Cricetulus griseus: one gene and its partners. The protein of the gene in region 1 purifies or fractionates together with the protein of each later gene. This does not show direct contact. Links are inferred from orthologs where the notes say so. Each region holds a gene or a part of one and is shown on either strand. Other genes may lie near its edges. The genes, in order: Fgfr1op2, Strn and Pdcd10.

Region 1 (10,718 bases):
GCTGGCCTAGAACCCCGACCTTCCTCCCTTTACCTCTCAGGTATTGGGATTAAAGAGGTATGTGTCACTGTACATGGCTTGATATACACTGAAGTAGCTACTCTGTAACCAATACTAACATTAACCATAGACTTTATGTTCAAAAGACCAGTTAAATACCCAAGGGTTTCCATTTTGTTAGGGCATGATTATTATAAATAGGTAACACTAAACCCAACTTTACTCCTTTATTCTCTTAGTAATCAACATGAGGTTGCTATTACAGTCCGTAATATGTATAACTGTCACCCAAAGAATACTACTAGTTATCTAATTCTGACAGGATAATTAGATATAAACGCCAATGTGGAAGAAATATTTTAAAGATTCCAAAATATAACTGAGAAATATATGTATCTTATAACTACCACTATTTCTTAAATAGTATTAGTTGTAAGTAGTTTATTTCACCATTATCCAAAGCCAGTCATCCAATCTAGTTTAATATTTTCATTTTCCACTGGCAGTTAAAATTCAGTTTAATGTAAACAGCAACAACTATTTTGCTTGTCTTGACAACTGCCCCCAAATGGCCGCAATTCAAGCAACTGCAAAAGTGCTCTAACTACTTCGGCTTTGCTTCTCAAATGATGTCATCTACATGAAGGATCCCCAACCCCATGGCTTCTCATGAAGACTGGACTCTTCAGGGAAACAATCGGCACTCAGCAGTGCACAGACTTTTAAAGTTTCCATTTTCTGCTTGTGTTACAGGTAGCACTACAGATTCACTGGAAAATTCTACTTAAAAGCAGAGAATCTCACAGAGTAATTTTAAACTAAACACACCTTTATTTTTACAATAGTTTATTACTGCACATATACAGACACCACACACACAGACACACCATTTTAAAGTTACTAAGGACACCAATAGGGAGGCAGACACAGATGGATCTCTGAATTTGAGGCTAGCCTGGTCTACACAGTGAGTTCCTGGATAGCCAGAGCTACACAGTGAGACCCTGTTAATAAGGAGTAATGTGAGTTACAAGAATAAGCCAAGGAGAATACAATATGTAACAAGAAATAGGGGGCAGGGTGGTGACGATGAAAGAAAATGTCAATTAAAAATGTGAGGTATTTCTGGCTATGGTGACACATGCCTTTAGTTCCAGCACTCAGGAGGCAGAGGCAGAAAGATCAAGAGTTCAAGGCTAGCCTGGTCTACAGAGTTGAGTTCCAGGACAGCAGCCAGGGCTACACAGGGAAACCCTGTCAAAAAAAAAAAGGGGGGGGGGAGAAGGGGATGTAATTATATATCATATCACACCAATTTTAGATTTTTTTTTCATTGTTTAAACTCTAAACATCGATTAACCAATGGCCCCAATTTTCATTTCAAGTCAAATTCGTAGACTGGATTGATTACCTTTGAGTGTTGCTCTTTTAACTTCATTATTATACCTGGGTCGTCTTTTTTGCTGGCCATTAGCAATCTGAACATCTGCTCTCGGTACTTGCTCATTATCAGTTCCAAGGCAGACTGGTGCTCTTCCAAGGATGTTCGCAGTTCTATCGAGAACAATGTGCTTTATTGAAATGAGCTAAGATTATACTCTCCCAAATCATATTTACCAAAACACTGACATACATGACATCTTAAAAGAGACCGTGCAGCAAAGAAGCCCCTCACCACTTTTTATTGAAATAAAGGTTTATGCTGTGTGTGTGTGCATGTGTGTATATGTGTGTGGGTATGTGTGTGTATGTGTGTGTTGTGTGTACACACACACGCCATGGCACATGCAGAGGTCAGAGGACAATTTGCAATTGACTTTTGTCTTCCTCCAGGGGTTCCATCGGGTTCCAAGGATGGAACACAGGCTGACAGGCTTGGTGGCAAGTGCCCTTAATCCTTGGAGACATCTCTCATTAGCTTTTTAAAGTGTTCATTTAAAACTGTTTCTTAAAAATCATTTCAGAGCTATGAGGCTGGACTGGGGAAAGTTCCACAGAATTATCACACTGCAATGAACTTGAGCTCTTATGGTGAACGCTAGCTAAAGGAACGAGAATCTTCAGCAAGGAGCATGAAAGTGAAGGCTATGTTAGGAGACTGAGGTAGAAAGGCAAAACAAACAGTGTGGAGGAGAGCTGTGTGAAGTGGGCAGAAGAGAGACCAGCAACTGACAAGGAAATAAAATCAAAACAGAAGATTTTAAGCAAGGGCATCATGGCCACATTTATTCTGGGGAGTTTGGACTTGGGCTTGTGTTGAAGGATGGAGAGAAAGCTGACAGTGAAAGTCTCCAGGTACAGCAGAGCATATGAGCAGCCACACTGGGACACGGCAGGGAGTGGAGTTCAGTTCTTCACAGGTAACAAAATGGTGTAAACCAGATGTGAGAAGCAGCTGAGAAGAGGATAAGCAGGGCAGAGCACAGAGAGAGCGCCTCCTCGTCACACAGACCAAAGAAGGAGATTAAATAGAAAGGAGGACTTCAGCTCACTATTTCCCCACTTAAAAGAGGATTCTATTTGATTTCACGTGCATGTGTGAGTACCTACATTGTCTGTGCACCACATACATGCCTGCGCCCCAGAAGGGGGTGTCAGATCCTCTGGAGAAGGAATGATGGGCAGCCAGGACTGCCTGACGTGGGTGCTGGGTACTGAACCTGGATCCTCTGCAACAGTGCTCTTAACCACTGAGCCATCTCTCCAGCCCCTCTCCGATTTGTGAATATACTTATTAGTCCCAAACTAGTACCACAATGGAAGACTAAAGGTCTTTTTCACGACAATCTATCTTGCCTTTGTTCTCCTGTTGCAATTCTCTGATCTGTCTGTTTTCTTGCTGGATTCCCATAACTAGCGTGGACCTCGGCCGGTGTCTTGCCACTTCATTGAGTTCTTGGATTTCTTCCTGATACTAATGAGAAGATTAAAAAAAAAAAAAAAAAGAACACATAGGAAGTCAATATTTGCAAATTTTTACCTGCTATATGGATATAAATGAACAGACCCTTTAAGAGTGAAACAGAGGCATTACATGACCCAACATTCCTTCCTTAGGGAAAAGAAAACATCCGTAGTACCAATACTCATAATAGGAAAAAAAGAGGAATTAGAGTACCCACACCCTGACCCAAGAGAGAAGAAACAAGACATGCTGTATCCCCTAAAGACTGACACATACGAGAAACCAGATGAAATTTAAAACATGTCAATAGGCCAATCACAAAAGCCACACAGCTCATGTCCTACGCACACAAAGTGTCTACAGGTCTCGAACAGGCAAATCCACTGGGAGAGAGGTCAGTGGGAGTAGAGAGGGTGGGAAGCCAGAAACACACTGACCTGACCGGCATAGAATTTGCTTAGCATGAGCAAGGCCCCAGGTTCCATCCCTAGCACTGCAAGGGGCGGTGGGGGTAGGTTTGAGATAAAGTCTATTATGTAGCTCTGGCTGTTCTGTAACTCAATATGTAGACCAGGCTGGCCTCAAACTCACAGAGATCCACCTACTTCTGCCTACCAAGTGCTGGGATTAAAGGTGTGCACCACAACAGCTGGCTGGATTTTGAATTTTTTTTAAAAAAAGCAGGAATCTTAATTTTAGAATTATTCTTTTTTCTGGAGGCATTCTTACTGGATAGCTGGGAATATATTTACAGTAACACTCCTGGTTCTTAACTGCAGGTGTCAAAGTCCGATTGTAAAACACATCACTACCAGGTTTATGCTTACTGTCATCTGGACGGATGGTCAAGGAGCAGACCACTTTAGGGAGATGCAGGTATAAAACAGAGTAAGTGGACTTGCTCCAGTATTTCTGGTAACTTTTAAGGAGCCTTAGTTCAGGTTCTCCCCCTACCCTCTTGAGACAGGGTTTCTCTGTGTAGCCTATGTTGGCCTTGAACTCGGACTTGTGTCTGCCTCCCAAGTGCTGGGAATAAAGTTGTCTGCCACCACTGCCTGCCTAGGGCTGCTTCCTTAAGAGTTGGAAGTCTTTCTGGGGGGACAGCTTATACAGTAGCTGAACTCAATCATCTACTGGGAGTTTCCTCTACATGCCAGTAGCAAGAAGTAAAACCTACTTAATTCCTATTGTAAATGACAAATTTAAAACATGCTAGCAAAAAAAAGAACTTGAAATAACCGCACAGGATGAAAATTAGATACTTCTTTACATCATTTAAAAAAACTTATTTGGTTGCTGGGCGTTGGTGGTGCACGCCTTTGAACAGCACTCAAGAAGCAGAGGCAGGCGGATCTCTGTGAGTTCAAGGCCAGCTTGGTCTACAGAGAGTTCCAGGACAGCCTCCAAAGCTACAAAGAAACTGTCTCAAAAAACCAAAACCAACCAAACAAACAAACAAAAAACAAAGTAACACCCAAGTACTTTTATAAAGGAAAGTATAAACATCTCAACATTATATAATACAGCAAATATCTAATGTGTGCCAGTACTAGTGAAACGTGTTGTCTGATCCTTATCAAATGTATTTAGATTTAACAGTTTCACTTATTTAACTCAAATATGCAATTCTGTCAGAAGAGGGATGAAATTCATAGATTTTAAAATAAACCTATGTACTTGTTAGTGAACACGATTAATATACCCTAGTCCACAGTGAAGCAAACACACAAGTGATGCTATGTGAAGACTGCAATTAGAAATTATCTGATTGTTTACTGTGGTTTGAATGAGAATGGCTCCCATCCGCTCCACATCATCAGATGCCCTTCTTAAGCTTCCCCTAAGATTGTCCATTATTTAGAGAAAGGCATTTACAAATATCGTGTTCTGGCTGTTGGGATGCTCACAGATTTGAACACTTGGTCACCAGGAAGTGACATTATTTGAGAGGATTAGGAGGTGTGGCTTTATTGGGGGAAATGTGTCACTGGGCGTGGGCTTTGCGGTTTCATTCCCAGCCCAAAGCCTCTTTCTTCCTGTTGCCAGTGGATCTGAATGTAGAACTCTCAGTTACTTCTCTAGCTCTGTGTTGACATGCTCTCAGCCGTGATGAAAACTGTAAGCCAGCCCCAACTAAATGCTTTCTTTTATAAGAGCTGCCGTGGTCAGGGTGTCTCTTCACAGCGATGGAACACTGACTAAGACATTCATGACTTAAGTTTACTCAAATGTCGGTGAAGCCAGCAAGAAGAGTCAAACCTGCTTCATCGCTTCCACTCGCTTGCTGAGGGCCGTGGTCTGCTCGATGAGAGACTCTGCTGCATCATCATGGTCCCTCAGCCTCTCCACAAGGGCTTTGGCGTCAGCAAGTGCCTTCTCAATCGTGCAGCTCATTTCTAAAGGAGTAACAGTAAATAAGTTAAGACCAGGGCTTAAAGTCACCTTAGCTCCACATTATCACAGATGCCCTTCTTAAGCTTCCCCTAACATTGTCCATGATTTAGAGAGAAAGGCATTTACAAATATCGTGTTCTGGCTGTTGGGATACTATGGGCTTAAATGCAAATCTGACTGTAAGAATTCTCCCTGCTCTGTCCAAGTCTGAGCCTCCTCCGGGATGAGCTATGGCGTCTTATGTAAAGTGGCACCATCATCTCAATTCCTGCAGTTTCCACAAAGAATATTATTGGCCACTACAGGCAACTTTCAATGGGCTTGAAAGAGGCACTGAAGGGGATGCTGAGGTGGCTGAATGTGGAAGAGAAGCAGGAGGTGCTCAGCTGCATTCTGCAGGAGTCGTCAAGGGCAATGCTTAACAGCAGCAAGAGAGAGGGAGCCTTGAGGAGCCCAGGCTGGGGCAGCAGTGCAGCAGCATTGACACAACAACTGGGCATCTGCTGCATGGTGCCACAGGACAGAGGGCAAGCCTCCCCACTGCAAGATGGGGCGAACAAGAGTTCCAGCATCCCCGAGAGCACAGCTGTTGAGAAGCATAACCTGACACCCAACCGTGGTCTCAGTGGAGGCCGACTGACAGGCTGTGCTGATCTCCAAAGCATAACAGAAAACTGAAAAAACAAGGGTCCCTCCCTGTAACAGGGGGGTGGGGGGGAAGAAATGCCAGATATAGAATTCAGAAAAGCTGGGTGGATCTCTGTGAGTTCAAGGCCTGCCTGGTCTACACAGTGAGTTACAGGGCAGCCAGACTACACAGTGAGACCCTGTCTCAAATAATAAACAAATAAAAATTTAAAAAGCTCAGTTTGGGACTGCGAGACGGTTTAGTGGTTAAGTTTGCTGTTCTTGCAGAGGACTGTAGTTTAGTTCACAGCTGGTAGGCAGACACTCCAATGCATGTGTGCACACCCACACAGACAGACACACACATGTACATAAAAACTAAGAGCAAACAGCCCAATGGATCTAAGAAAATACAAAGTTGAGTGATGTTAGAATTATGGAGCACACAGCGAAGACCCTGAAAAAGAACTAAAGAGAAATCTTGTTTGTGTTAGAATCTAAGATCTGAAATCAATTGTCCAAGTCCTAACCTAGAGAAAGTAGGAAAAGAGCAGAATAAACCCCAAGTAAATAGAAGCAAAGAAAGTAAACACAGTAAAACTAAAGGTCCGTTCTTTAAAGCAAAGAGGGTGTGTGAGTGTTTATGGGGGGTAGAGACAGATACCAAGAGAGACTGAATAACCAAGGAGAGAGAACAAATGAAGAGCCAGTGGTGATGGCCCATAATTGCAATCCCAGTACCCAAGAGTCTGTGCTGCGGCAGGGCATCAAAAGAAGGAGTCCACCCTGGGTCACACAATCTGTCTCAACTCCCACGCCCTTAAAGACCAAGAGAAACCACTGCAGAGCCATACTTCACTCTAACATCTCATATACATGAATTAGATAATTTAGATTAAACACATCTGTGGTGGTTTCAAAGAAAATGGCCCCCAAAGGTAGAGGCACATTAGGAGGTGTGGCCTTGTTGGAGGAGTGTGTCACTGTGGGGCGGGCTTTGAGGTCTCTTGCTCAAGTTCCTCTCAGTGTGACAATCAGTCAACTTCCTGTGCCTCTGAGTCAAAATCTAAGGACTGTCAGCTCCAACACCACGTCTGCTGTCATGCTCCCTGACATGACGATAATGGACTGAACCTTTGAAGCTGCAAGTGAGCCACTCCAATTAAACGCTTCCTTTATAAGCATTGCCGTGCTTATGTCTCTTCACAGCATCAGAAACCTAACTAAGATTAGTTCTTCAAAACACACAAATGACATAAAGTCCTACAAGAAGAAATGAATAACCAGCAATAGACCTGTAACTATTATAGCCACTGGAGTTACATAACCACATTTCTACAGCTATTTTCTAACAAGTTTAAATAGTAAAGAAACTGGAGTTAAAAATATTCTGCACAAAAGGCTCCAGACCGAGAGAGCTTCAGTGGCAAGTCTTAAAATACACCAGAGCCGGAGACAGGGCTCAGCACTCACTGCTGCTCCTGTATCGTGAGCACCGTGGGTGGCTCACAACCATCCCCACCTCTAGTCCCAGGGCACATGACACCATTTTGTGAACCCATGGGCACTAGGCATGCACCTGGGGCACACACACACACACACACACACACACACACGTTAAACAAAACAGAACACGAGACAGGTAAAATCAGTGTCTGGTCCAGGGGTCAGGCCGGTCAATAGAGGCCCTATCTCAGAAAACAAAGACAAACAGGGATATACAGTCTCTTTAAGGAGATTAGAACACTTATATGGGGGGCAGGGCATGGTGGTCCACACCTGTAATCTCAGCACGCCAGAGCAGAGGCAGATGGATCTCGTGAGCTTCAGGCCAGTCTGGTCTACAAAGAGAGACCCTATCTCAAATAAACAAACACATAAATAAGAATAAGAGGAAAGAGAAGAAAAAAACCAAAAACTTTTAGATTCATAAAGCAATTCAGCATTTAAAAGATCTTAACATTACCCTATAAAAGGAATGAGAAAAACAAAATAAACCATAGAGCAAAATTTCTCATGAATTTAGTAAAAGACTAAATACTTTCCTCACTAAAATTATAACAAGGTAAGGATGCTCCAAATACCAATCTTGTTGAATTACCAGAGCAATAAGGACAGGGGGGAAAATGTCAACTGGGATACATACAAGAAAACTGTAGTTTGTAGTCCATGTTGCTGCATTGAAAATCCCAAAGAAGAAAAACAATTTCTCTCTGTGTGTTTTAAAAGGAGACAGGAGTCAAGTGAGCTGCACATAGAACACAAACGTGGGTGGGCAGGAGGTGGGGAGATCTGGGAGGAGCTGGGGGTGAATAAAATCAAAATACAGTCTATGAAATTTCAAAGACTAAAAATGTAAAACATAAAGTTCCTACAATCCATGATTTTAGCATGTCCATAAGATACAAGTACAAGCCCAAAGGATCCAAGAGACCAACTGTTCTTCCATAAGCTAGCAATGACAACTTGGAAACAGAATTACATATACAAAAATTACATAATGTATATTACATGGATTAACTCCTCAAAACCCACCAATGCCAAAAAGTCACAAGAAGAAATGAGCGTCTAATAATAGTCCTAGAACTATTTAAAATAGCTACATTTATAATTACATATACATTATAATAGACATAATAGATAAATGAAATTCTCGGGCATAATCAAATATATACAGGATCTATATGCTGGGAACTACACGTCAACAGAAAACATAGTATCTAAGTGTGTGGAGAAAATACTGTGCTCAAGGCTTTATAGACACAATATAACAAAGCCAAGAGATTTCCAGTCTAATGCAGCTAGAAGCTGACAAGCTGATTTTATAATTAATTCCTACAGAAAGCAAGGAAACTAGAACCACTGGAACTCTCTTGCAAAGATAACAAAGTGTACGATATAAGACTTGCTTTACATAAAGCATAGCAACAAGATGGCTGTGATACACTGAGACAGAACAGAGACCCAGAAATAGGCCCACAGGAAGGTAACCAATTTATTTCTGAAAATGTGCAAAGGGAGCTGAGTGTGGTGGGGTGAGTTCAAGGCCAGCTTGGGCTACACAGAGTCAAAAGACAAAGTAGCAAGGTGCAAAGGTCAAAGAATGTCAGGCACTAGAAAGACCGGCCCAGTGGCTAACAGTGCTGGCTGCTCAGCTATAAGGATGGCACTTCAGACACCAAGACCCTCGTCAGGCATTCACAAGTGTCACTAACCTGAGCTTCAATCTGAAGCCCTCTTCTGGTCATCAAGAGTGCCTGCACATCTGTGTACATTTTTTTTTTCTTTTTTGCTAAGGTCAGCATTTTTTCAACAAATGGAACTCAACACCTATATGCCAGAAAGTAATCCCAACACAGTTCTTACTTGGTTTATATAAAGCTCTATGGTTTATAGAAAGCTTTTCCCAAATGGAGCACAAATTTTAATACAAAATGAAAAATGCTATTATTATAAGGGGGAAAAAAGAGCAAAGAAAATCTCTGTAATCTGGAGATGGTCAAAGTTTTTTAGGCATGATACCAAAAGCATGAAACATAAAAAACTGCTGATAAACCAGGTTTCATCCAGATGGGGGTGGGGGAGGACTATCAGACAGCCAAGACAGTGTGGGAAACAAGCTAGACCTCGAGGAAGCATGTTCCAAGTTGTACTTCTGATGAATCACTCATAGCAAGAATAAGTCTAATTTTAAAAATGGCCGAAAGATTTTTTTTAAATCAGATTTATTATGTTTACAGTGTTATGCCTACATGACAGAAAAGGGCACCAGATCTCATTACAGATGGTTGTAAGCCACCATGTGGTTGCTGGGAATTGAACTCAGGACCTCTGGTAGAACAGACAGTGCTCTTAACCTCTGAGCCATCTTGCCAGCCCCGGCCCAAAGACTTTTAATACTTGCCCTAAAAGATGTTTACTGTCATTAAAGAAATTTAAAGGAAACGATGATGATGTCCATCACAACCCTAACTCAAATTGCTAGGTAACACAACTTAGAATAGGCTCCCCGCCCCCACCTTATGGGTGGGGCTCAGACCTCAGACTCGGGTTGTCAGGTTTAATTCAAAGTGGCAGCTCTATGGACCTAAGAACACCACCTTATCTTGCCATCTAGACAATGGGACAAGTCCTCAAGGACTCCAAATGCAGGAGCTGAGTGACAGCCAGGTTTGGCCGAGACCGGACCTCCACAGCCAGGCTGAACCAGAGGGCCCTGTTTGCTTCATGTTATGCAAACACTGTCTTAGCATCCTGAGGTGGGGAGAACAAATTCCCCAACTCCACAAGTGCAGCTCCTAAAAGGTTTAAAACTTTTCATTTCAAGTCAGCCAAGGAAGATGCATAGGAAGAACAATAAAAAAAAAACCAAAATTTTGAATATTTTTTCACATAACTATACAAATCCAGCAATCATTTTAAGTATATATTAAAATTAAGCAATGGATATGGTGGGCCTTGAGAGAGAATTACTTTAAAAGTGTTCTCTAGGCTGCATAGAGACTAAGAAAGTAAACTACATTTTCATATTTTAGAAGCATAAAAACCCATCTACACACAAAAAATTATGCAGACAACTCAACACCCAATTTTATTAACATTTCAGATAAACGGTGACACAGCTTCTGTAAATCTGTATACTCATTTCCTGTTTGCAAAACCTCAAAAGACTTAAAACTATTTTATAATATGAGTTTGCTTTGACTTCCTTTCTGAAAGGCTCTTTCTCTCCCTTTCTGGCTAGTAAGTAACGTGGGAGATATACTGTTCTTCACATTCTGTTATGCATCTT
Region 2 (10,718 bases), on another chromosome or scaffold:
GCTGTGATCTAAATATATCATGAAATCAAGGGCTTTGCCTCCTTACTTGTTCCTCTTTGCATCATAATAGAAAAGACCATCATCTTGCAACCCACCAGATTTTGAGTTTTTAAGCATACTAATTAATTGTTGTACACTATCTAAGAATTTTTGAAGATATTAATTACTATAGTAATTTATAGTTATTTCAATATACAACAGAAAATGCCAGGTGGCCACATGGAATAAATTCTTTGGGTGCAGTTTTTCTGTTGTTTGTTTTGATTGCTTTAGACTGTGCTGAAGTTTACCCCTTCCCCCCCAAAAAAGTTTTCTATAAAGTAAAAGTGTCTTTAGGTTTGGGCAATAGAACACTATGATTTAATCATTCTTCACATCGACTTGGGCAGTTACACTTTTGATTAAGAACAAATAGAGAGACTTTTAAAGATTGGTATACATACTTGAGTCTATCTTGGATTCTAAAGTGAGGATTCGCTGCTGTGTCTCCATGTTAAAGATGCTTGTATACCCTTTGCTGAATGATGCTACCATATGGCTCGGGTCACTGCTCACGAGATCCACCGAAGCAGGGATTCCCAGTTCTAAGTGTCAGAAATATTCAGAGAGGATGACAGTTAAAAGGTCTACTTGAGAAAGTACTCAAAATGCAGCAAAACAAAACTAAGCATGATTTACTTTAATCAATCAGGCTTAACATCAGAATAAGTTATTTTAGAACTGTTCACAGAAGAGTATTTCTTTTCTAACTTTTAGCCTTAGTCTATTTTATTATCCTTACCTGTTAAATGTTTTCTACCCATTATTCTGCTAATCCACTCAAAGAATGCAAACTTATTTTGAAAGAAAATAAAACACATGGACCATAAGTTTTATAGCTTCCACTTCCATTTCAAGCATAGAGTAACACAGTGGAAATTCAGTATTTTAAAAATCCATCTTGAAGAAAAGAAAACAACAATAACAAATCCAAACTTAGGTTGGAGTGCAGCTCAGTGGTACTGTGCTTGCTAGCACAGAGTTATGTCTTCAAAGTCTAAGTGCACATTGTGACTTTGCTGAAGAATAAAGTTGTTCTGGGCCTGGAATGTAACTCAATGGTGGAATATTTGTCTAGCATGCAAATCACCACACAAACACGAAAAGTTATCATCAGGGGACAAACTTGGAACTCATTTATACCAAAAACAGAATGATAAAGCCAGTGTGGTAGCATACTCCTTAAATCCAAGCACTTGGAAGTGGAAGCCCAAGGATTGTGAATTTGAGGTCTGCCTGGGCAATGAATTCAAGGTGAACCAGAGCTACATAGTGAGGCACTGTCACAAGAAAACAAACAAACAGAATGATAAATATAAAAATAAAATAATGTTTCATTTGGGTCAACACCTAACCAAAGCAAGGTAATGATTCAAAACTGTACAGCAGAAGTTCTAGGAATAGTCAATGAAAAGCAAGAAATGGTACTCAACCAAATATGCTGTCAAAGAATTAAACACTGAAACAGAAGGGAACCAGAGTGACAACATCAAGACTGAGTGAGGATGCAGAGCAAACTGACCTCACACAGGCTGCAGCCCAGGTTATAAAGTGCCATGAGCACTCTGGGAACAATGTGGTCATTTCACTTAACAACAAAACACCCACCCTAAAACCCAACAAGTCTACTGAAAGGTCTCTACTACCCATGATGAAAATTTATGAACCTTCATAATAAATTATTCCTAATAGGCCCACACTGGAACAACAGTAAATACTACCAGATAAATGAATAGGTCGTGGAAATTATGACTTTTTATAACAATTTTGCTCATAACAGCCTCGGTGTCTATCAGGAGATACATGAATAGACAGACCATAGCTTAATACAATACTCTCACATAATAAAGGGAAATCAACTGACACTGAACTGCACAAACGTTACAGTAGAATAAAAGCCAGGCACAGAGATAACATCCTAAACTGCTATTTTATTATAGGTGAGAATAGACAAAACTAATCTATGATGAAAGTGATCTTGACAACAGGTGCCGCTAGCTGGGATATGTAACAGGGACTGACTAAGGTCACAAAGCAGCCCAGGGAAGGGAAGAGATGGTCCCACTCCAGACTGATACCAGCGCCAGGACTGCACCAGTTCACCTCACGCATCAGAACACATCCTTGATGCCCTCAATCTTCAAGGAAAATAAATTACGTCTCACTTTTTAAAATGTAAACCCCATCTTCTCATCAAATGCTGAGTTTTTTTATTATTTCAATTGTGTGTGTATGTTTGTGTGGTATGTGCACATGAATGAAGGTCACTGAGGTCAGAGGTGTGAGACACCCTGGAGCTGGGGTTAAGGCAGCTGTGAGCCACCTGATGTGGGCATTGGGAACTGAACTCAGGTCCTCAGGAAGAATAGTATGTGCTCCTGACCACTGAGCCATCTCTCCAGCCCCTCAAATGCTGTTTTTAAGAATTATACATACACTGAAATGTTAAGCAACAATGTTGGTGCGTTAAAAAAAAAAAAAAAAAGCCTTAAAATTTATACACTCAAGAGTTTATAGAATCATTTATTTGCTTGCTTTTTCAGAGTAGAATGTTTAATAAAAGATCTGGAAGTGTTTAACTTTAAAGACTATACCTTGGTTATCATTAAACACACTCAGTGCCGGAGCAACCTCGGTTGTATTCCATAAACGTAAAGTGCCATCTGCTGAGCAGGACAACAAGCGCTGGTGTGCCGCGCTGTAGGCCAGCCCCCACACAGCATCTGTGTGGCCCAGCAGAGGGCCTCTCAGAACAGAAGGATCTGTGGAAAACGAGCACATGCAAAACCAGAAAGAAAAATTGTCAAGGCATTTAGGATCCACTGTAAAACATAAGACAGAGCACCCAGACACAGTGTAACGCAGTCTTCTAGTTTCAGTATCTTCTGAAATGCTGCCGTAATTACAAGCAGTTTTGGAAATACAGATCTTGAACATTCTAAATTAGAATTAAGAACCACAAGTCTGATTTCTTAAGAAAGCTTTATTTTAACGTTTATTAAATAAATGTAAGGAGAGATTTTTGTTTGCTGACTCTGTGTTTAGTTTGGTAGTAACATTACAATGCTTTAGTGGCAAACATGACATATTAAACCATTCTGTATTAACTTCAAACTTAAAGCAGCCCATTTCTAAATAGTTTTACAAGGGAATTTATAGCAACATCTAGAAACACAGTATAATATGAATTCATGCCATAACACTGCTCTTAAAACCAAAGCATCTGTGTGCATGCGTGTGTGTGTGTGTGTGTGTGTGGTGTGTGTGTTGTGTGTGTGTGTGTGTGTGTGTGTGTGTGTTGAGGGTGGAGGGAGGACAGACAGACAGCCTGGATTTATTCTAAAACTCAGACTGGTCTGAGACTCATTAAATAGACCGGGCCAGTTTAAATTTACAGCAATTCTCCTGCTTCTCCCTGGCAAGTTTAGGGATTACAGGCTTATACCACTAAACCTAGCTGAGAGGCCAATCCTTAACTGTTTTTAGGACCCTTTATAATAAATATTTTGGAGGCATACTTTAAAATTAATTAGCTTCTCCCATTTCCCTCCAATAACTGAGCAAAGAAATGATGTCACCATTCATTTACCTTCAAAGTTGTTTGTCGAAAACAATAATGAAATATGACTGCAGATGAGTTGCAAAGTTTGAAGTACCAGACAGATGTCTAACATCAAGAAAGCAAGCGTCAACCAAACCAGCATTTCTGTCTAATAAGACTACAGAGATGAACTCTCTTCCCAAGGACATCATGTTTTTACCTTTAGCATTAAGTATCCTGCTGATTCCTGTTATGTACAGGAATCCTTCTGAATGACATAAAGATACACTTCTCTTTACTGGTCTCTTAAATACCAGTAAATAATTTTACCCTTAATGTATACTAGGAAAATAATGTAAGAAGACAACATCTTTTCAGAACTTCAGTGAAGCACATACCATAAGAATCATAGGGATCGATGTTGGGATTGGTGGTGTTCCAGCCCTGAATCAGCCCATCTGTACCACCACTGTAACACTGCTCACCATTGCTGCTCATCACTACACACAGCACCGGACCTCTGGGACATCAAATAGATCAATAGGTGTCAAGTAATCTGCTATTCTCAAATGTCAGTTCTACAATGTAACTTGTTAAGACTTAGAACCTCTAATTACTCAACTGCCTTTCTACTTACTAGCTTTTAACAATGATTAAAAACATTAATGAGTCAGGTGTTGGTGGCACATGCCTTTAATCTCAGCACTCGGGAGGCAGAGGCAAGAGGATCTCTGTGAGTTCAAGGCCAGCCTAGTTCCAGGATAGGCTCCAAAGCTACACAGAGAAACCCTGTCTTGGGAAAGAAAGAAAGAAAGAAAGAAAGAAAGAAAGAAAGAAAGAAAGAAAGAAAGAAAGAAAGAAAGAAAGAAAGAAAGAAACCAAAAAACAAAACAACAACAAAAAACCACATTAATGAAGTACTACTACTCATTTTCTTTCTTTGCCAAACCAAAGGCTGGTAAATTATGGCCTTGAAGCCAAATTCATCTAGTAGTTCAGGCTATGAATGCTTTCTACATTTTTAAAGGTTAAAATAGCGGCACACACAGCAACAACAAAACCAAGAATATGTTACATGAATTAAGACCCTTAGTTCAATCCATAACAAAAGCCAAAAGAGGACAAAAAAGTTCACCAAGAGTATATGGTCTCCTAAGCCTGAAAAATATTTACTTTCTCACCCATTACATAAAAAGCATTTCAATGTCTGTAACAAATTGAGAGAAAACATGTCTCTTATACATAAGTGGAAAAAAGAAAATATGTAATTACTATAAACAATTCTTGGTTAAAAATGCAAGTTAAGTGGCATGTGTGTGAGCATACAATACTCAGGAGGAAATCCAGGGCCTCATATACAAGGGACAAACCTTCTACCTTTAAGCTACATCCCCACACTTTGAATACTTTTTATGTAGGTTATGTTTAAGGAAGAAACTATGTGAGAATCCTATTAAAAATTATTTTAATGTTTTATTTGTACATGTGGTTGTATGTCACCTCTGCACAGGTGCTCACAGAAGCCAGAAGAGTGGTGTTGGATCACAGGAGTTACAAGATGTTGGGAACCACTCCACATGGCTGCTAGGAACTGAACTCCAGTTTTCTGGAGGAGCAGCAAGTACCCAGTGCTAGCATTGCTAGTACTTAAACCTAAATACCTTGACTTCCATTTATAATACATATGCATACCAGGAACTCAACCTGGTATTTATATTACCTGCCAGGTTCTTTTACATTTACAAAAAAAAAAAAAAAAAAAAGCCCCACCACTACTAAATAGAAAAATTATATTAAAATATGTAAGGGAAAGAATGTATAATATCAATCAAACTGTGTTAAAAAGATGCTGGTTTAATATAAAGAAAAACCACATACTTACTTATGAGCTCGGAACGTATAGATAGGCTCCACATCAAGAGACGTACTCCTAAACCAGAGAAAGAAGATGACTTTAAGCATGCCAAATTTCAGCAGTGAACAGCATAACTAAGTTGTATGTGGTCCGTGGTCTCCATGGTAATAACATCTTCAGCCTCAGGATACAGAGGCTCATTTAATCCCAATTATATCTTCAAAATATGGGCAAACTCCCACTTTAGCAGTGGTACCTTGTTAAACAGACTCCTTACAATTGATCCACTAAAGTTACAAAGACTCCTCACACTGCTACAATTCCTCCACTAATACCACACAGACTCCTCACACTGTTATAATTCCTCCACTAATATCACACAGTGTGCTACAATTCCTCCATTAATGTTACACAGACTCCTCACACTGTTACAATTCATCTACTAATGTTACACATACTTCGCACACTGTTACAATTCCTCCACTAATATCACACAGAACTCCTCACACTGTTATAATTCCTCCACTAATGTTACAGACTCTTCACACTGTTAGAATTTGTCCAATAATGGGAGAGAACATCATTCATGAGAGAAAACAAGGACCGTGAAGGGTAATTTTCAGAACATGATTTCCAGTTATATCACTTATTAACTAATGCAGGGAAGTTTTTATTATTTCAGAACTTCAAATTATCCTATATTTAAAATAAAATGAAATCTAGATAGTACCAAATATTCAACATGAATGAGAATCTAAATATAATAAAAAAGTTAAGACCAGAACTATACACAGCAGGATTTCAGCAAGCGGTACTTTAACTTCCCTGTGTTTTCATGAAGGCTAATATATCTATCCTTGATTCTGTGGAAACTGCCCAAGCCATCAATTCATTACTAAAATCAGGACTCTGCGTGTCTGTTACCTAACAGACAAGGATTCATCACAGACACTGGCTGAAGGCAAGAACTCACCACTTTCTACATCATGTTGCAGGAATTTGTAGATACACATTATCATTTCTCAAGTCAGCTCAAAGATAACTAGGGTACTATTATGTGCATGTGTAGATATTTTGCTAATTTGTTTCTGCTATTTCCTCAATTGGACATTTACATTTAGCTCCATGTGACTGAGCTGGAACCAGAACTAGCACACTGTGACCTGAGAAATGGAAAGGCAAAGGTACAGCACATCAAAGGGAATACCCCCTCTGCTGACCTGATCTGAATTCTGCTCACACTGCATCCAGCACTTTGCCTGTCCTGTGTGACTCACGGCACTGATGCTACTGGTGCCTTTTAACTTGGGCAGCAGAAATCTCTTCTACAGGCAGGACAACGTCTGTGGTGCCCTGTATTACAGTCTGTTGTACTCTTCTTAGTTGTACTCTTATGCCTCACATAGTGAAATGATCCTGGCTGATGGAGGCTGGTTTGGATGAAGGGAATGGATTCATGGAGGGTGAGCTCTAGAAAGGCCTCATCAAATAGACCTACTCTAGCTTGGGAACTAAGGAAACAGTTTATAGGACAGCGTGCCTGCTGGCATTTATACACCAAACTAAGAACGAATAACTAATCAAAGAAAACAGTATCCCTCAGTTCAGACAAACTAGTTAGTATGAAAACTTGTCAGAGAAAAAGCTAAGGGCATAGAGAAGTTCCTAACCACTTCTTTCACCTTGTAAATCCAAACTTTGTAAATAATAGAGCAGAGGTTTGGTGAGTCTATGTGTTTCTACTTATATCTCTTTACATTAACAGGGATCTTCATTACAGGCAAGAAGTCCCACTTATAAATGAAACAGCCACTTAAAACCCTTATGCATAATATAAGGACTGTAATCACCAGTCACAAACCCCTGGGAACCATCAGATAAAAGCCCTTAGACTGTCTGGAGGACTCACCTATGACATGATAAAGAATAAAGGACCAGAGAGATACTTGGGAACTATAATAGAAAATTATCTTAAAATATGTCTTTCCCTGTTGATAAATAATTTAACTAAACCTTAAAAAGAGTAAAAGTAGAATATTCTCACTTTTTGGCTGGGGCTGTTTTCTGCAGATTCCACATTTTCAGTGTATGGTCCTCTGACGCTGTTATTAAAACGGGCTCGATGGGGTGGAAAGCAAGGGCACGGATGCCATCAAAGTGACTTCTTAACGTAAACTTGGGGTTCCACGTCTTCCTCAAAGCATCTTTATTATTTGCTATCTATTAAAGAAATAAAACATCAAGTTGCAATAGCTGATTTGCTAATAAACTATTACACTATACAATTCTCAAAACAATATTTTTTAAATTTTTTTGTTAATTTATTTTTTATATTCCAATCCCAGTCCCCCCTCTCCTCTCCTCCCCCTCCCCACACACTTCCCATCTGCTCCATGGAGAGGGTAAGGCCTCCCCTTAGGCAGTCTACTAAGTTTGTCCCATCATCTCATTGAGACAGGACCAAGGCACCTCTCCACCCCCACACCCCTGTGTCTAGGCTGGACAAGGTATCTCTCCATATAGAATGGGCTCCACTAAGTCAGTTTGTGCATTAGAGTTAGATCTTGGACCCACTGCCAGTAGCCTCATATGTTGTCCCAGTCACACTATTGTCACCTATATTAAGGAGTCTAGTTCAGTCTTATGCAGGTTCCCTATTTGTCAGTCATCTCTCACTAGCTTGCGTCAGCTGATTCTGTGGGTTTCCCCATCATGGTCTTGTCTCCTTTGTTCATATTATCGCTCCTCCCTCACGTCAATTAAAATAATATATTTTTAAAGCAAACAACAAAACTAATTAGCAAAATTAGCAACATGTGGCAGTTTTCATTGAAGAAATAAAAAATGTGGAATATGAGAACAGTTAACATAACTCAAGCTAAACTGTAGGTAAGTGATGATCCCAAATGAATCTCTACTATTGCCAGTTTCGACCCTGAATGTGCATGAAGGCTTGGTCACCAGCCTGTGGCACTCCCAGGAGGTGGAGTCTTTAGCAGATGCAGCCTAGACACGACAGTGACATCACTGAAAGGTCTCCCTTAGGAGAAGCAGAAGCCCAGGTCTCTCCTCTCCTGCTTTCCTGAACACCATGAAGCAAGTGACTTCTTCTGAATCTTGTACCTCACCGTGACTGGCCCTACCAACATGGACTGAAACACAAGCAAGCCTTCTTATCTAACAGGTTCTAAGCCTTCCTTCCTAACAGGTTACTTACAACCAACATGGACTGAAACACAAACAAGCCTTCCTTCCTAACAGGTCACTTGTTTCACGCTATTACTTCACAGCGACAGAAAGCTTGAACAATTACTAGAGTATTTTCAAAATCAAGCAAATCAACTCAAACTGTAGACAGAAAATGTAATTTGGATCAAAGCACTGGGTTTTGTTGTTGTTTTGTTTTTCTTTTTTTCCCTTTAAGCCTGTGTCCTGGCTAGTCTTATGTCAACTGTGTCAACCAGCTAGAGCCATTTGGGAAGAGCAAATCTCAACGGGAAAAAATGCTCCCACCAGACGGGCCTATGGGCAAGGCTGAGGTGCGTTTTCTTGATGGGTAATTGATGTGGGAAAGCCTGGCTCACTGTGGGCAAATGCCACCCCTAGGTGGGTGGTCCTGGGCTTTAAGAAAACAGTTGGCATTGTACAAAAATTAACACCCATATTGTTCTAGAAATGTTGAACTTAATTTTTTTCCATTTGTACAGGGGTAACGCACTGTATTAAATATGTAAGGTCTTAAAAAAAAAAAAAAAGAAAGGATTTTGAGAGCCCATCCCATATGAAGGGATGTTCTCTTGACCTGGACACATGGGGAAGGGCCTAGGCCTGGCCCAGGATGATGTGGTAGACTTTGGGGATCCCCTTTTGAGAGCCTTACCCTGCCTGGGAAGTGGAGGGGGGATGGCTAGGGGCAGGTGGGATGTTGGGGGGGAGGGGAGGGAGAGGGAGAAGGGACGTCTGAAGCAAGCTTGTTCCTAATTTGAACTAATAAAACAAAAATTAAGGAGAGAGAGAGAGAGAGAGAGAGAGAGAGAGAGAGAGAGAGAGAGAGAGAGAACAGACTAATCAAGCCACTATCAGCATTCCTCCACTGTCTCTGCTTTGGCCCATTTTCAGGTTCCTGCCCTGACTTCCTGCAATGACAGACTGTGACATGCAACTGTAAGCGGAAATAAAACCTGTTCAACCGAAGTTTCTTTTGATCATGGTGTTTCAACTCAGCAATAGAAATCTTAAGACAGTTTGTCAATTTAAAATACAATCATTTTTTTAACATGTTTTGAGACTTTAATTCTTTCTTCACTGAGATGATGGAAACGAGATTTATATACTTGAAACAGAAAATGTTAAAATGGCTGTGACACTCCTGCAATCCCAGAACTTGGGAGACTAATGAAAAGATTTAGAATCCAAGGTAATCATGGAGCTACTGCATTTCTCTTTACACATGTACTCGAGTGTGAACACTAGATGCCATGAAGATACCATGCAAGGGACCATGTGATACAACACTAAAGTCTTCAGCCAATGACCATCGATGAACCACACAGCCTGCCAACAACTCTGACAGTGCTTGGTCTTCTCCACATCAAGTCCTCAAGTGAGAACATACCAATGCCAGTATCTTTACTGCAATCAGTATGACACAGACGAGCCAGTCTGTACAGCCCAAACTCTGAATGTGGAGCTATTAAAAGATGATAGTTTTCTATTTCTATTTTATTAAAAATATTTTTTCCCAGATGGAAGCAAATGAGATCTATAACTAACCATTGGGCCAACCTCCAGGAGTACAATTAAAGTGAAAGAAGAGTGATAAAAGGAGTCAAGACAATGATGGAGAAACCCACAGAAACAGCTACCCAGAGCTAGTGAGAGATCACTGACTCTGCACTGTCTGAACTAGGACCCCTTAATGGCAATGGTATGGCTTGAGCAGTATATGAAGCCACTGGCAGTGGGACCAAGATCTAACTATAATGCATAAACTGACTTTGTGGAGCACATTCTCTATGGAGAGATACCTTGGCTCAGCCTAGACATGGGGAGGGGTGCCTTGGTCCTATCTCAATGAGGTGATGGGACAGACTTAGTTGACATCTTAGGGGAGGCCTTACCCTCTCTAGGATGGAAGATGGGATGGGGGCAAGAAGGGGAGAGCCGGAATAGAGAACAAAGGGGAACTGGGATTGGAATATAAAAAATAGACAGACAGATTCTTTTCATACAATACATTTTGATTACAGTTTCTCTCCCCCGGTTCCTCCCAGATCCTCCATA
Region 3 (10,818 bases), on another chromosome or scaffold:
CATGTGAGTGTCAAAGAAATAAGGACAATTAATCATCATTTCCAAAGCTCATACCCATCAGCATGTTAGTAAATGTTGGCTAAAAGCAAACACAAGCCAGCTAAATAACTGCTGTTATTAATTTCATTATAAAACAATTGTTTATAATTAACTAGCATTCATCAAGTGTCTAGTAACAAAAGATAAAAAATTACCATACTAAATTTTTAATTCTGACAAAAAACAAATTATATTTTTTCTAAAATGTCAAGTCAAAAGTATCTAACATCCAATTCTACAAATGCTTAAATAATACAGGAGGACCTTTCTCCTCCTGAGGATGGGGCAGAAAAAAATAACTAGAGAAACTGAAGAACAAATTCAGACTTGACACAATGAAATTTGGTTTTAAAAGGAAGACATTAGCAAAGGTCTTCCTTGGAGGAGGCTTGATGGTAAATGGAGGTGAAACACAGGCTTCCCTGGCTGGGAAATATCCTCCTTGGGAGCAACTCTGGCAGAGTTATACCTATCAATCATACTTCCTCCTTCTAGAGTGAAATTAAAAATGTCACCACCCAAAATTGTAGATAAAATTTTGCAGCTCACGAAGTCTGAATCAAATCTGGCTGGAATCAACACTTCTGAATAGTTAATAAGAACAGAACCATTTTCAGAATAACTAACTTACACAGTACCCACTCAGTGAGGTGGAATCAACTGTCTTCTTATCTATGGAAATACAAAAGTCTCACCAAGTACATTACAGTACTGGACAACATGTCTAACTGAGCAGGTGGTCACAGTGCAGCTTCCTTCTGCTGAATTTGCTCAAGATCAACATGAGATAGCAAAGAAGCATCTGGCCTGGACAGCCTAATGCTTTAGTTTCTAAGACCCACATCTCCTGAAGAAGTTAAGGTAGCAGGATCAAAATTTCAAGAGTAGCCCAAGTAATTTAGTAACATCCTATCAAGCAAAAACAATGAAAGCCTAAGATTTCAAATTCTAAATTTAATGAGTTAATAGTTCAGTGGCGGAGTGCTTACCTATCATGCCTAAGGGCCTAGCTTCAATTCCCAGTACTGACAATGACAATAAAAATATAGTGCTTTACATGTATGAAAACGATTATTTATACATCCTATAAATTAAAAAATACAATTACCCAAATTTTAAGGATGAAATGTGGAAAATATTAGCTGTATAACTAAAAAAAGGAAAACAAATTCTTATCTGAATAAACAATTGATCCAGATCTCCAAACCAGTATTTAGCCTTAGGAAATTTTGTAAAAATAAAATAATTGGTCCTTGTTTATATTGACTGTTTAAATAACTCTGTTAAGGGAATAAACATCACTTTAGTTTTCATTTCTTTTAAAAAATTTGTCCAAATAATAGCATGATGTATTTGTTTTGCCTTTACAACCTACAATTGTTTAAAATTTAATGTATTAGTGACTTGGTGACTCACAAGGGTAAAAAAGTAATGCCTACCTTATGGATGTAGGTTTGTAGAAATAGGTGGTTGAGAAAGGAAAGGTCATATTCTCTTACATTAATTTAACAAAACCCATCAAGCATCTTTTTCTCTCCTGCCAAGGGTATACTTCTCAAGCATTATTTTTCTTTAAATATCTATTTTTCTGTGTCCCATTCACACCAAAACCATTTGATCTTGAACCTGTATTTTTTCTGATGTCGAAGACAGTCACCAAACCTCTTATTAGAAATTTATTCCAGTTGGTTCAGTTTTCAGTAGGCTTACAGTCAGAATTTTATTTAAATTTAAAGAGAGGTCAGAAAAATAATGCTATTTGAAATTAACCAAGTCCTCTGGATAAAGGACAGTCATCTCCAAGTAGTTTCCATACAGGAGAGGCAGTCTGCACTCTGCTGTCTTTATTTTTCATCATACCATACACATAAACAACAAAAAGTCAGATGAGCAGGATAAATAATCTGCTTTTTAATCATAGTTGATATTTACATAAAGTGAATGGCCTTTCCCAACACTAACCAAGAAAACAGTTTTGGTTATTTGAAATAGAATGTGAACATCAATTAAATTGGATGAAGAGTTCAAGGTTAAAAATAATTGTCCAAGCATGATATGCTAATAATGACTTGCTCTTATGTAGAAATATGTCCTACTTAATCCCAAAATGACACAAGAACCTTGCCTCATTCATTGAATTCTTAAAAGAATCCAATCTTGAAAACAGGGAAAGATTACACTTTAAAATTACAATCTATGAGATTGTAGTTATGGTATCTCAGACCTAAGATGTATATAGCTAGGAGAGACTCAAAATGCATCTTCATTTCAGCTGTTTTCCTGCCAATTATCTTCTAACCATTTTCTTGGTTACTGACTGATTTTCATCAAAAATTCTATCTGAAGGTCCTTCAAAAAAGGTTCTGAAGAACTTCATTATCAGTCATGTAACTCGCTCCATTATGTGCAGGGAATAACCTAGAGACAACAGGTATTCAATTTCCAAATGAACCAGCCGTGGAGCCATAGCATCGCAGACTCTGACTCAGGACTATGCACCTACATCACAAATAACAAGGGCAAGTACCATCCTTTCCAAGTGTTACTAAACCACCAGATCACATTTTTCTCTCCCCAAATCATGGTTTGGAGATCACACCGGTTAGATGGCTACACCAATGAACAGGTCTCCAGTAGTATACCAAAAACAATATACATCCTGAATGTGGCTGCTTAAGTTTAGTGGCTTCTGTTGCTTTTTCTGTCTTACAAGCTCTTTGCTTCTTCTCATACCTCCATGATCCATTCACTCTAAGCCTAGATAATTTTGTTTGTTTTATTTTTATTTTTTCAGATTTGTCTGGTACACAGTTCTTTGGCATGTGAGAATGTAGGAGGGAAGGATTTAATTAACTTAGGGATGTAGATTTCTCATCAGTACCAGAAATCACTAGGACTGAACCTGAAGCCATGGAAAGAATATCTTTGGGCCACTTCATTTTAAAAAGGCATTTTGTATGCATTACAAAAACAAAATACAAAATCCTAAAGTAAATCAGAATAGCAAGACAACAGAAAAAAATAAAAGGTAGTTACTGGATCTTATTGACCATTCTTTTAAAAACATAAAAGTATTCTGACATCCCATGGGATAGTCAACTGTCAAAATAAAGGCATTCCAGAGGAGATATGCTGCAATATGCTATTATGATTAATAGGAGTATAATCTGGGGTACTATGTAACAACAACAAAATGAACTAAGCTGATATACTGTTACTACTTTTTCAAAACGAAAAGGCTGTAATCTGTCCTAGTTACACAGAGGTAGGGGTGACTACTATCTTCACCAAGTATTACAACATAATTCCACCCATATTTATTAAACTTACATTTAAAAGTATACACATGATGAGAATGAACTATCATTTTATACTATATATACATGCATATACATATATATATATATATGTATATATAATCGGAACCCATTGCAACATACTAAAGGTTATCATTTTACAGCTACTCTCTTCAACAGAGGAAAGCTCTTCCACACAGCTTCCCTTGTACTCCTGTTTTAAAAAGACGAACAAACCTTACCGGACACAAATGAGAGAATAAGGAGCAGCGATGAAGTACACCATATGTTTCTGTTGTAGGCTGAATCCAGGTCTTTGTTTCAATATTCCAGCGCCAGCCGGGAAGGAACGCTAAATTAACCACTATTCAAATTTATTCTCTCATTATTGCGGTAAAAGTTATACTTATGATAGGTTCAGCCCAAACCCATCCTATCTTATTATTTGCTTGTTTAATCCAGATTTTTTGCAATCCCAGGAACCTGCAATACATAATCGCCCTGGATAACAGGTCCGAAGCAGAACAATCTGATAAACCAACACAAGCGGCAGGCACTGAAGAGAACAAAGTTGTTTTCCTAGCGAAATAGTTCCGAAGTGATTCTATATCAATGCCATTTTTGCTTTTTTATCAGCTACGCACCTATCTAGACACTGTCCACCTGGTTCTCAATTAACAGGGCTTTCTTCAATCTTGGGATCTCCCAGACCAGTTTTAATGGTGCAACTCAAAACAAAATCACTAACCGCGCCCTTATACATCAGAAGGAATTACCTTTTGCCTTTTTCTCCCAACTATAGTCCAAAATTGCACATCGTTCCCCTGAAAGGGGTTGCAATGCTATCTTAAGCCAACATAACACTCTTTCAGCTCTGCCCTGGCGTTCCTATTGTCAGATGCCGTTCTTCCCCCGGCGGTGTGCTGGCGCCGGCAAGGGGCACCCACGCTTACCTCCCGCACACCTGCACTCCCGGGCTCGGGATGCTGGAGAGGATGCTCGGCGGGCTGTGATCGCTCAGGATCCTGCTCCTGCCTCTCTCCGGGGAAACTACAGAGCAAGCAGAGCCTAGGCTTCTACTGAGACTCAAGCTCCGCCTTCCCCTCCTCTAGTTGGCCGGACCTCGGGCTCCGGCTCCTCCCTCTGCCGTTTGCGCAACCCGAGCTGCAGGCGGCGCGAAGCCTTACTGAAGCAAGTGTCTCGGCTCCTGGTTCTCTGTCCACCCCCCCCTTCCCCCCACCGCACCCACCCACCCTGAGTCGCACCTGGAGCTTCTCAGGTCAGGTTTAGCCCCCTCAGTGAGCCGGCCCAGTGTACACCAGAGTGGGCTGTCCTAGGGAGTACTGACGCTTCAGCCCAAGCGAAGCCCACGCCTCACCCTCCCTCCTCCACCCCCCACAGTCCCCAGAGGCTTCCTCGCAGCCTACCCAGGCACCCAACCCAGCTGCCCGTCCCCTGCCACCTCTGGTCCCCCGCCCCTTTCCTTCCACTCATCTGCGAGCCCCGCCCATCAGTGGGCACGGCGTCTGAGGGCCGGCCTTGCCTTCTGATTGGTGCAGGTGAGAGCCGGCCCCGCCCTTCCTCCGTTTCTGGGCGCTCTCCCTCTCCGTCTCCCTTCCTCCCGTGAAGGCAGGGAACTCTTTTCTTATTCGCTACAAGTGTCCCCACCTATCGCCCTAGGCGTTCTTGCGGGTCCTTCTGGGAAATGTGGTCCTAGGTCTGCAGGAAGTGCTGACGGAACTGGCGGGCGGAACTACGAATCCCCATCGGGCCTTGCGCGACTCCGGCTGGGCAGGATTCCGGACAACGCCTGGTTCCTCTCGGGTCCTTCCGGCGTCGCCGGAGTGAATTGATCCGGGAGTTGAAGAGGGCTCCAAAGGTGGGAAGTGAAGTCCGTGCCTCAGTTGCTGGTAAGGCGAGCTTTCTCGGTTCGGGTCCTCACGGCTCCGCCGGGCAGCGAGCGCGGCTTGGGGTCAGGCGGGGGCCGAGGCGGAGACGCTGGGGCTGGGCTCTGGCCGGAGGGCGGACGGGCGGGGAGCGGGGCCCTCTGGGCGTCAGCGAGGTCTCTACGCGAGGTGCGTAAAGCCGGTTTGGAAATGCCGCTTACCCGGCGCGGCCCGGCACCTCCAGGAAGTCCGCTGTGGGTGCGAGCGGAGGGGAAGGGTGAGGTCGGCCTCCCGAGTCCCCGCCGACAGAGGGGGCGGATGTGCTGGGGTGGGGTCCCCGGCAGGTGAGGCTGGAGCTGTGTAAGGCCTGGAGAGAGCGTGGGAGCCCGGGAGTCGGCTCCCGGAGTGACTGGGGTTATGCCCTTTGAGGAAAGAGGAGAGCCGGTGTTGACAGTTCCGACTCAGTTCCAGTTTCCTGATGTGGCCTCTCTAAGGAGGTAACTCTTAACTAGAAGTGTTTGTCCCTTTTAACTCTCATACGTCAGATGGCTTTACTCCTGAACTGTACTCAAAAGCGCTTTCGCTTTGGGATGCTTCTGAGAAAACTAAAGGAGTAAATGACGTGTCCAAGGTCACACAGATCTTCTGAATCCAGTCCGCTGAAAGTCCAGGTTCTGACCAGAGTTGTCTGCTTAGATAGAAAAGTGGGGAGTTGCTTGGTAGGTGCTCGAAGCGGATAAAAGAAGTTGCAAAGTTGAGTGTGCGTCTCAGAAACGTTTGGGAGGTGAAGAGTTGGTTGCTTGGGGTGGAGTGAAATCCTTCCCAAAGCAATCTTCTTTAACGGTTTGTTAAAAAGGGAAGGGTTGTTTTTTTTTTTTGTTTTTTGTTTTTTTTTTTTTTAGCTTAGATATTTACCCTTTTTCCGAAACATACTAAATGATAACACAACTTCCATGAGCCAAAAAGATAGGTAATATTTAGCAATAAGCTCAGCGTTGCCATTAAGAGAATAGTCCTTTCCTGATTTCTGAAACTAAGATTAAAGTACGGATGAAACTTTGACAAAACTTATTTTACACATTTTAATGTTTTCATTGAGTGATAATTAAATGCAGAATCATGGAGAAGTTATAACATGGTCGTTACCTGAAATGGCTTTTTTTTCTGTCTGAGGTTTTTGGTTCTCATTTTCTTCACTCCATGTGTAAGTAGTAAAAACCAGGACTTGTGCATTTTCTTTTTCTTGGCATCATCTGTGACTTTTAATTCATTCTTAATGTTAAAGAACGGGAAAAAAAAGGATGCCTGTATATTGAGTAAAAAGCAATGCACTTGTTTCAAACAAGTTGACTAATTATAGCTGATAGATATTACTAGATAGGTTGTTGATAGAATTGTACTTTTTTATTGAAGACAAGGTTCCTTTATAAGATTATACTCATAAACATGCATATTTATAGTTAGTAGGCATCATATTATGTAAATTAAAATATTAAATACATATATACTGTAAATAAATACACAATATTTTGAATGTTTTGCTTGCCATGATTAATACTAACAATTTATTTGATTTTTTTAATGCAAAACTTTTCTGGGGTCAGAAGAATCTTTGTTCCTCTATGGTTCAACTTAATATGGACTTGTTTTACTCTGACCTTTAAAATAAATGGAGAGGTATGGTATTATAGAATGAGACAGAAATCAGGAATGTAACACGCTGCATACATATAATACACAATAAGGAAGAAGCAACTAAACAAAAGGAAAATTATGTGGGGTTGATTTTGAAGTAGATTAAAATGGTGCCTTAGTTTGAGTGGGCCATATATAAGTCTAAACTTGTAAAGCAAGGATGCCAATATATTTTCTAGATGACTGTGGACATTTGCTGTTTGTGGGAAAGGTATGAAATGAGTTTTAACATAACTTTGTGGTTCTGGAAAGACTTTCTTTTTTAACTTTTTAAAATTTAAATTAGAAACAATCTTATTTTATATATCAATCCCAGTTCCCTCTCCCTTCCATTCTCCCATGCCCCCCACCGACCCCCATCCCATCCCTTTTCTGCTCCATAGAAAGGGTGAATCCTTCCATGGGGATCATGAAAGTCTGTCACATCATTTTGGGCAGAGCCTAGGCCCTCCCCTGTGTGTCTAGGCTGAGAGAGTATCCCTCTATGGGGAATGGGCTCCCAATGGCCTATTGGGACCTAATGGTCCATTAGGGATAAATGCTGTTCCATTACCAGAGGTCCCATAGACTGCCCAGGCCTCCTAACTATTCAGGGGGACTGGTTCCATTCTATGCTGGTTTCTCAGCTATCAGTCTGGGCTCCATGAGCTCCCCCTTGTTCAGGTTAGCTGTTTCTGTGGGTTTCTCCAGCCTGGTCTTGACCCCTTTGCTCATCCCTCTTCCCTCTCTGCAACTTGGATTCCAGGAATTCGGCTCAGTGTTTAGCTGTGGTGTCTGCTTCTGCTTCCATCAGCTACTGGATGAAGGCTCTATAATGGCATGTAAGGTAGCCATCAATCTCATTATAGGGGTTAGAGCATTTAAGATAGCCTCCTGGAGAGAATTTTTTAATCAAAAGGAAAAAATTAGTTCTTGTCTACTCTAAATGTATCTGTGTCTCTGAGGTCCATTTTACCTGTAGTGTTTGATCACTACAATTGTAGTGCTGAAATGAATGATGTTATTGCTGTATTTAAAATCCTTCAGTCGCTAGCTAGAATTCACAGTGGTTTGTTTTACCTGTAGTGTTCAGCTCTTGGTGCCCACATTTGTTCTCTAAAGTAGCTTTGCATCAACTTTCAGATATTATTCTTCGTAGGCCTTTGGAATTCTTCCTTATATAGTCATCTCTCTCTTAAAGGGTAGTCTATAAGAACAAGAGCGGTGTATTAGTTATCTTTATAGCCTCAGCTGAAGAATAATTGAGTGGCTCCAGAGAGTAGAAAAGGCTTGGGTTGGTTTAATGACTTGCCCAATGTCATACGATCTATAACACATCCAGGTCTTTTGACAATAGGTATTCTGCTCAAAACTGTGATTGTTTTATGTAAGAAAAAGACAGACCATTACAGATGTTTAGATATCATGACCCTCTTACTCTGTTTAATGCCACCAGTTTGTCTTCTATTTCTGTCCCAAATGGCTCCAATCTTATCCTCAACTATTACTTTGCTAATACAAGATACTTTCTGATCTGGGGACCGTTTTACAAATCCGACCTCTCCACCTGTCCTATTTCATCTTCCCTTTCCCAGTGTGGTTGATTCCTGCAAAGCCTGGCTTACTCTGAATCCTCCTTCTGCAAACCAGGATAGGTTGCTGCTCTGTCTTCCCTGTATTCTGAACTCTATTGGCATTGTCACAGTAGGAACTTACTATTTCTATACTGATTTAATATTTGGTCATCTTACTAAAGGTTATCTGGACAAGGGATTCTCATTTGTTAGAACTTAGCCTACCTCTTAGACTATTTAGCAGAGAGTATTCAGTAATTGTATGTTCAAGCATAGTACCTCCAGTATTGTGCTAGGGATAGAAATATACAAATGAATGAAGATACAGGAATTTTCAAATGAATTTAGGAAAAATATAAAGAAGTTAATGCCAGAAGTTTAATGTAAAGTATATAAAAGTACTTTTTCTTGGAGATCTCTCAAGTTTAGGTAAGTAATTTCATTGTGGAAACATAAAGGAGTTGGTTTCTTTTTTTTTTTTAACGGCAAAATTTCTGTGTAGCTCAGCATTTTAGAAAACTTGCCACTGCCTTGTATTTTTAAAACAAGCAAGATTCATTATAACAAAATATAGACATGGAAAAAAACTTTTAATGGACACTATTCTCTCCTTTATCTTTCTTTTCTTTTCTCTTCAAAACAGTTATTTCACTTGCCTAGCTCCCAGGACACCAAAGATAGAAGTAAGTTTACACATTCAACCTAGAATGCAATTAAATTGCTGAAGTCTTAGAAGGACTGGAGCCAAGATTTGAGGCTAGACCTGTTTCTGTGCTTCCTAGGTTTTGTTTGGTTTTGGTTATAACCAGGATTTAATACAAGCTTCTTGAGAAAAGATGTTTTTGGGAAACCAACTTTCTAATTTCAGAGGAACTTATATTTTACCCTCCTTAAAAGTTATAGTTGAGGGGTTTAAGATAATATATTACTAGCTTTGAATATGACACAAGACTAAAGGTGTTTTTAAAATTTTACAAACGAAATTTTAAGGATATAGTAGGCTAGATTTTTGTCTGGAAAACAAATTGTATAATTTTTCATATTACCACACTATTGCAATAAAGTACATTCAACAGCTCTGAATTACTTAGCCTTTTATTCATTCACATTTACCAAAAGAGTAGTATCAAAAGTGGCTGCCTTAAATTTTGATAATGTACTAAGGTTTATTACTGAATGTGTCTGTACTAAATTCTAAACCTGGTACTTTTAAAAAGTTAGTCTGAATGTTATTTGAATCATCAATAAAAACTTTATTTCACTTACGCAGTTTGCAGGAAATTAAGCTAAGCTATTATTTATATGTTGTTAGAATGTTAGGGTTATTACAGTAGGTATTGTTACTAAGAATTTTAAGCCATATATGTGAATTTTTCCTCTGAAACATGTAGAAGATGGTGTGATTTTTATACTTTATTAATAAAATATTTATACACATTCAAAAGTAACAAAAATGAAAGCGTTTCCGTTGAGGCAATTAGAGGTAATTTATTTGCTGAAATTTGATTAATTTCATAGTTAATTTTATATAAACATAAGAATTTCATTTAAGATACACAACACAACTTGGCTGGCCATCACATTAATAGTATTATTTTTCAAGGACACATTTACATTTGGAGTATGAGATTCCATTTTTTTAAAACTATGCCAAAGAGATTTGAACCTATTTAATCTACTTTGTAGTAACTTAGAATCTGGTGTTGCTTTAGGGATGGGGGGGGGGCGACACAAAGAATTCTTATCATTGGGTCACACTGCAGTATTCGGTAAGCACTAAAAAAACTTCCCTTTTCCTCAGTTAGAATGTCCCTTGGGAACAAGTTTACCATAGGTAAGTCTGAATTTCATAGTAATAATCCCTTGGTTCATTCACCTACATATTTGTTGGGTATGTTTTATGTGTGAAATTATCTACATTGGAATGCCCACCTACAATTTTTACAACTGCCAGAGGAAGTAAGAGCTCTATTATTTACAATTTGTGAACAAGGAAAATAAAATGTACAGAAATAAGTCACTTGCCTAAGATCACAGAATTCATATAGAGATACCAGGTTTTTGATCATTTCAGTAAAATGGTGTTCATGGTTAAAGGCCTACTTGTAGCATTAGAGTTGCAGTGACAGAGAAATTGTCCCTTAGATGCACACAGTTGTTATTTAATGAGCAGGTTTACACTTAAAAATCTACTAGGAATTTAGTCCATACAGCAGAGACTAACAGACCCCTTTTTTTTTCTATCAGTGAAATATATTACTTTGCTTTAGATTGGTAGGTTAAGTATGTCATTTCCTACTCAGATGCTGTTGGAAAATATATATAACCTGGTATTACATATCATAATTC

The links.
Region 2: the proteins of Fgfr1op2 (region 1) and Strn purify together in Homo sapiens (affinity purification with mass spectrometry; 4 studies listed by BioGRID and IntAct, with this or other methods). This does not show direct contact. The link is inferred for Cricetulus griseus from reciprocal best matches to the Homo sapiens genes FGFR1OP2 and STRN.
Region 3: the proteins of Fgfr1op2 (region 1) and Pdcd10 purify together in Homo sapiens (affinity purification with mass spectrometry; 3 studies listed by BioGRID and IntAct, counting the BioPlex papers as one, with this or other methods). This does not show direct contact. The link is inferred for Cricetulus griseus from reciprocal best matches to the Homo sapiens genes FGFR1OP2 and PDCD10.

The regions. Positions count from the first base shown.
Region 1 is NC_048601.1:3,102,579-3,113,296, forward strand, and holds part of Fgfr1op2 (FGFR1 oncogene partner 2), read right to left. Parts: intron 8,092-10,718; exon of another isoform or gene 8,073-8,091; intron 5,302-8,072; 5' UTR 5,300-5,301; coding exon 5,165-5,299; intron 2,915-5,164; coding exon 2,797-2,914; intron 1,555-2,796; coding exon 1,412-1,554; intron 1-1,411. UniProt on the Homo sapiens protein: May be involved in wound healing pathway.
Region 2 is NC_048600.1:5,366,397-5,377,114, reverse strand, and holds part of Strn (striatin), read right to left. Parts: intron 7,656-10,718; coding exon 7,480-7,655; intron 5,511-7,479; coding exon 5,463-5,510; intron 4,101-5,462; coding exon 3,979-4,100; intron 2,802-3,978; coding exon 2,634-2,801; intron 585-2,633; coding exon 444-584; intron 1-443. UniProt on the Homo sapiens protein: Calmodulin-binding scaffolding protein which is the center of the striatin-interacting phosphatase and kinase (STRIPAK) complexes.
Region 3 is NW_023276806.1:78,248,490-78,259,307, forward strand, and holds the start of Pdcd10 (programmed cell death protein 10), read left to right. Parts: upstream 1-5,093; 5' UTR 5,094-5,245; intron 5,246-10,818. UniProt on the Homo sapiens protein: Promotes cell proliferation. Modulates apoptotic pathways. Increases mitogen-activated protein kinase activity and STK26 activity. Important for cell migration, and for normal structure and assembly of the Golgi complex.